Linked DNA regions of Mus musculus: region 1 is reported to be linked to region 2. The links are microRNA targets in miRTarBase. Many come from high-throughput screens and were not tested one by one. Region 2 holds a microRNA gene; the other region holds the end of a gene's coding sequence.

The links. The annotated mature microRNA mmu-miR-669g reads UGCAUUGUAUGUGUUGACAUGAU and lies in region 2 at 793-815, opposite strand. An mRNA with a match to its seed (bases 2 to 7 or 8) in the 3' UTR can be bound and repressed. Matches are read on the target gene's strand: a 7mer-m8 pairs with bases 2 to 8, a 7mer-A1 pairs with bases 2 to 7 and ends in A, and an 8mer does both.
Region 1: miRTarBase lists Kcnj2 as a target of mmu-miR-669g. Seed matches in the 3' UTR shown: 7mer-m8 at 1,067-1,073 and 7mer-A1 at 1,759-1,765.

Annotation. Positions count from the first base shown.
Region 1 is chr11:111,072,734-111,075,733 of GRCm38, forward strand. Kcnj2 (potassium inwardly-rectifying channel, subfamily J, member 2) reads left to right here. Exons shown (of 2, transcript NM_008425.4): 2 at 1-3,000. The coding sequence ends at 337. Among named protein-coding and RNA genes, the nearest start is that of Kcnj2, 8.1 kb to the left of the region's middle.
Region 2 is chr2:10,474,922-10,477,984 of GRCm38, reverse strand. It overlaps Mir669g (microRNA 669g), which reads right to left and starts at 835; the gene lies at 713-835. All of the region lies in intron 10 of Sfmbt2 (Scm-like with four mbt domains 2), which reads right to left. It overlaps Mir669k (microRNA 669k), which reads right to left and starts at 2,685; the gene lies at 2,559-2,685. Mir467a-1 (microRNA 467a-1) reads right to left here and starts at 1,639; the gene lies at 1,567-1,639. It also overlaps Mir466b-8, Mir669a-1 and Mir669j.

The DNA.
Region 1 (3,000 bases), not on the chromosome of region 2:
CAATGAAATTCTCTGGGGTCACCGCTATGAGCCAGTGCTCTTTGAAGAGAAACACTACTATAAAGTAGACTATTCAAGATTCCATAAGACTTATGAAGTACCTAACACCCCCCTTTGTAGTGCCAGAGACTTAGCAGAGAAGAAATACATCCTTTCAAATGCAAATTCATTTTGCTATGAAAATGAAGTTGCCCTAACAAGCAAAGAGGAAGAGGAGGATAGTGAGAACGGAGTCCCAGAGAGCACAAGCACAGACTCACCTCCTGGCATAGATCTCCACAACCAGGCAAGCGTACCTCTAGAGCCCAGGCCCTTAAGGCGAGAATCGGAGATATGACTGGCTGATTCCGTCTTTGGAATACTTACTTTGCTACACAGCCTGACGTTGGTCAGAGGTCCGAGACAGTTATACAGACCATGGTACTGGTCGAGAGGTGGGTGAAAGCAAGCAGCCACAAGAGACTAAGGCTAGCACAAAGGTTTCAAGGAAAGACTAAGCTGGATGACTGATGTAAAGTGCTTTGCAGGCCTCCAAGAGACATGATGGCACATATCTGTTGTAGTATAAGTTATGGGGTTTTTAATGTATTGTTTTGTGTTTTTACAAAACTTGAATATGCAGGCAAGCCTCAGTTTGGGTACATGACTTACCTGGAATGCTTCTCTTTAGGGGAACAAGAGTGATTTTAATGGCATAACACAGGCAAGACTCTGCCTTAATTTTTTGAAAAGCTGCTAACTACATGAACACGAACTGTATTTTTGTTGCAGTGTAGTTTATCTTTTACATAACGTTAAGACGTCAGTGTTGAGCATTGTTGAAAGCGCACAGTGTGCTTTAAAGCATCAAGTATTTGGCTATTAACTGCCAAAAATGAAAGCCTGATTTTCTGAGGCCAGTAATTTGTTTGCTAAAAATTGATCTCTCTGTCTACCTGTCAGTCTCTGTCTCTGTCTCTCTCTCGTTATCTCTCTCTCTCTCTCTCTCTCTCTCTCTCTCATTACATAATAGCATTATATAACACTAGCCAAATGGTAGCCTCTGGGTTTTATACTTTTCTTTTCCACAATGCTAATAGGTTATCTCAAACTTTCAGTTAGACGACCTTAAATGAATACCAAAGATAATGCACATTGTTTTGTTTTTGTTTTTGTTTTTTTCTTTTTCTTTTTTTTTCTTTCCTTTTTTTTTTCTTTTTTTGCACATGGAGGTTATATTTTTTTAAAAAGAAACAAAGCTCCTGCACAGATTGTCTTGGAAATCCAGAGACACCATCTTTGAACTTCAGCAGGGTGTGAAGCAGTCCGTTCATTTTTGCACTATAGTCTGAAAAGAACACCAAAGTCTGATCAATGTAGTGTGTTTTCGAGTCTGTTCTTTTGTGCTTCTTTCTTATTTGGAGGGGAGGAGGGAAGCATAGGTCACAGTTACATATGCACTATAATCAATATTTTTTCTTTCCCTTTTTCTGAGCTTTTCTCTCTTAGCACATTCCAAAGTTGGTTCCATAAGATCAGATCTTGGTTGAACTTTGTTGGTAACCTGGCACCTTCCAAACTGTCACCCAGCAGGGAAGATGAACAGATTTCAAATTTTGCAGCTGACTCATAGCCTTGACTGCCAGGGCATTTCTAGCTCAGTGTCACATTAAGAAAGATGTCTGGCCTCTAGTCTTGTCCTTCTAAGGTCTCTGCAGAGATAGAGAGAGAGAGAGAGAGAGAGAGAGAGAGAGAGAGAGAGAGAGAGAGAGAGACTTTCAATGCAGCAATCCACTTTACAGGTGAGAGGGAAGTTTCCTTTTTCATGACAGAGGGTAAGAGGGACTGTTTCAGTATTTTAGGTCTTAGTGAGCCATATAAACACAACATAATTACAAGCTAAGGAGTTAAGAGTCTAAAGGGTTATTTCTCTCTCTGTAAACATTCATGATTAATGCCAGTGGGTCATTGTCTCTTGGAAAGTCTCAGAGCACGTTGCCAAGGACTCATTATTTTCTAGAAGCCTCTTTTACCTATTCACCTTCCTTTATAAAAACCTCCCTCCCTTTCCCAAACACTAGCTCAATCATTCAATTCTCCCTCCCTTTGTTTCTCTTGGTTTTAATGTTCTCTACTTGTAAACCCTGGGGCTGCTGAGTTCCTTTTTAGTTGGCGTCTCAAAATCAAGCCTCTAATGGTATTACACCCTAATATGCCATTAAAAATCAGCTTGTTCTAGAACCATGTATTTTATTTAGGTTGATGTTTGTGCCGGTCTGTGGCTTGTGAGCCTCTGTATCTGGATACAGTGCCTGTAAGAAACGTTGACAATTTCTGCTGTTTTCAACTTTCTAAGTCAATGGATTTGAAAACTGTTGGTGTTATGGAAATCAAGAGAGAAGCGTCGAGAAAGTGTACATCTGGGTTTTAAGGCAGGGTTGCAAGTTGCTTAAAGAGTTTGCTGGGTTGGGGACAGGGAGAAGTCACAGGAGAGAACACAGACTGGCTTCTGACAGTGTGAGGCTATGGAAGGCTTCAGATGCTGCTATTAAGGTGATTTGCAAAGTAAAGTAATCAAACCAAAGAGTATTCAGTGGAATGTCAATCAAATGAAGATGCAGTAAAGAGTGGGGGTGACAACATGGACTGACCCCAAACACAAAAAGACTTGAGTTATTTGAAAAGAGGGAGGGGGTGGGTACAGAGACAAGAAAAGTGGGAGGGGAAATCTTTCAATTTTTTTTATCTTTATTTGCTTAAAAAGAAGAAACCATCTAAAATTTCTGGTGCATAGATTTGTTTTTCGTTTGTTTGTTTGTTCGTTTTTTTTCTTTTTGTTTTTCAAGGAAAATTTTGCAGAAGCGACATTTTTAAAGTGTACATTTTATAAAGTTTATCAGATATTTTCATATTTAAAGCCAAATGTAAATAGAAATCTGTAAAGGAAAAAAAAATACCCTAAGAGGTATAACTACCGCAGTGAGTTCTGAGAGCTAGCACCTATATGCTACCGGTTAGCAT
Region 2 (3,063 bases):
CATATACAAAAGTGAATATGTACACAACTATACACACATGCACATTCTTGGTGGACATCACATGAATCGCATGCTGAACTCTAACTCATCATGAAGTTAAACATGATTTTGAACTCCTCATCCTCCTGACACTGGCAAGAGTGCTCACCTCCTAACTGAGACATAGCTCTGGCCATTCCTATGAATGTGTGTGCATGTGTGTATATGCATATTCATATAGAGAAGTGAATATGCACACAACTATACACACATGCACATTTTTGGTGGGCATAAGATGAATCCCATGCTGGTCATGAACTCATCATGAAATTCAGCACGAATTTGAACTCCTGATCCAACTGACTCTGTCAAGGGATTTCACCTGCTGAGTGAGACCTCTCCCCATTCAGTACTGAGGAATCTTAAAACTCTAAGTCACACGTCATTCAAATGGATCGATGAGTTGCACTGATGTTTGTGTGTGTGTTTCTGTTTGTGTCTGTGTACATGTATATATTTGTGTAGATAGGTACATCCATATACTCAAATCCACACACAATAGAAACAGATACAGATAGGGATACATAGGGGGCATCACATGAATCCCAGGCATATCTCTAAGTCATCATGTAGTAAAGCATGCATTTGAACTCCTGATCCACAATCTTTCACACCTGGTGAGTAAAACCATTCACTGTCCCACTACTGCATAATCTTGAAAACTTTAAGTCACATATCATTCAAACGTATAAATGAATGCAATTTTTCCTGTGTGTGTGTGCTTGCAGATACACGTGTGTTTATGTTATGTATATCATGTCAACACATACAATGCACATACAAGTAAGCACACATGCACATAAATGGGTTGCATGACATTAATACCAAGATGTCTCCAAATGAAGTTAAGCATGAATTTGCAATCCTTATCCTCCTGACTTTGTCAATCTTTTACACCTGGTGAGTGAGGCCATTCAATGCCCCCTATTGCATAATCTCTAAAACTCTACATCACTTATCATTCAAAGGGATTGGCGAATGCCATTCCTGTGTCTGTGTATGTGTGCTTGCGTTTATACGTGTGTGTGTATGTTATGTATATTCAAATATAGACATGAACATGCACACACAACTATACACACATGCACATACATGGAGGAATCACAAGCTGATCTCTCATGAGGATAAGTATGAATTTGAACTCCTGATACTCTTAACTCTAGCAAGCATTTTCACTCTAAGTCACTTATCACTCAAATGGATTGATGAGTGCCATTCCCATGTGTCTGTGTGCTCATATGTGTCTTATGTGTGCGTGTATGTATATGTATATCATATTCACATATGTACATGTACACACACATCAACACATACACACATACATAGGGGCAATCACATGAATGCCAGGATGACCTCTAACTCATCATGCCTTTACCACGAACTTGCACTCCTGATCTTCCCGACTCTACCAAGGGTTTCCTGTGGTTTGTGAGACCTCACCCTGGCCCAGTCATACATAACCTCCAAAGCAGTAGGTCACATATCATTCAAATGGACCGTGAGGGCTATTCCCGCATGTCTGTGTGCATGTGTGTGTAGGTGTGTGTATGTATATGCATAAAATATACACGCATATACATGCAGGCACTTACGCACACAGGCACGTACATAGGGGCCATCACATTATTCCAGGATGATCTCTAACTGCTCATGAAGTTAAGCATGAAATTGAACTCCTGATCCTCCTGACACTGACAATTGTTTACACCTGGTGAGTGAGAATATTCACTGTCCCTCTACTTTATAATCAGCAAAATTTTAAGACATATATCATTCAAATGGATCAATGAGTGTCATTCTTATGTGTGTGAGTGTGCATGCCTGTGTGTGTGAATACATTTGTATGTGTGTGTATTTATATGTATGATCATATATACACATGTACGTGCACACACAATATATGGGCATGTACATACCTAGGGTCCATCCCACAAATCCAGGGTGATCTCTAATTCATCATGAAGTTAAGCATGAATTTGAACTCCTGAGACTCCTAACTCTGGCAAGCAGTTTTCATCTGATAAATGAGATGTTTCCCTATACCATGAATATACACTCAATGAAACTCTAAGCACGTATAAATCAAATGGATGACTGCCATGTGTGTTTGTGTGCACATGTATGTGTCCCTAGGTGTGTTTATATATATGCATGTTCATATACCCGCATGTACAGGCACACTTCCCTTTACACATAAACGCATACACAGGGAAAATAACATGAATTCCGGGCTGATCTCTAACTCACCAAAAAGTTAAACATGAATTTGAACTGCTCATCCTCATGATGCTGGCAAGAGTATTCACCTCCTAACTGAGTCATAGCTCGGATCATTCGTGGGAGTATGTTTGCATGTGAGTATATGCATATTTATGTACAGAAGTAAATATGTACACAACTATACACACATGCAAAATCTTGGTGGGTATCACATGAATCGCATGCTGAACTCTAACACATCAAGAAGTTAAACATGAATTTGAACTCCTCATCTTCCTAGCTCTGGCAAGAGTGCTCACCTCCTAACTGAGATATAGCTCTGGCCATTCCTATGAATGTGTTTGCATGCGTGTATATGCATATTCATATAGAGAAGTGAATATGCACACAACTATACACACATGCACATTTTTGGTGGGCATAAGATGAATCCCATGCTGGTCATGAACTCATCATGAAATTCAGCACAAATTTGAACTCCTGATCCAACTGACTCTGTCAAGGGATTTCTCCTGCTGAGTGAGACCTCTCCCCATTCAGTACTGAGGAATCTTAAAACTCTAAGTCACACGTCATTCAAATGGATCGATGAGTTGCACTGATGTTTGTGTGTGTGTTTCTGTTTGTGTCTGTGTACATGTATATATTTGTGTAGATAGGTACAGCCATATACTCAAATCCACACACAATAGAAACAGATACAGATAGGGATACATAGGGGGCATCACATGAATCCCAGGCATATCTCTAAGTCATCATGAAGTAAAGCATGAATTTGAACTCCTGATCCACAGTCTTTCACAC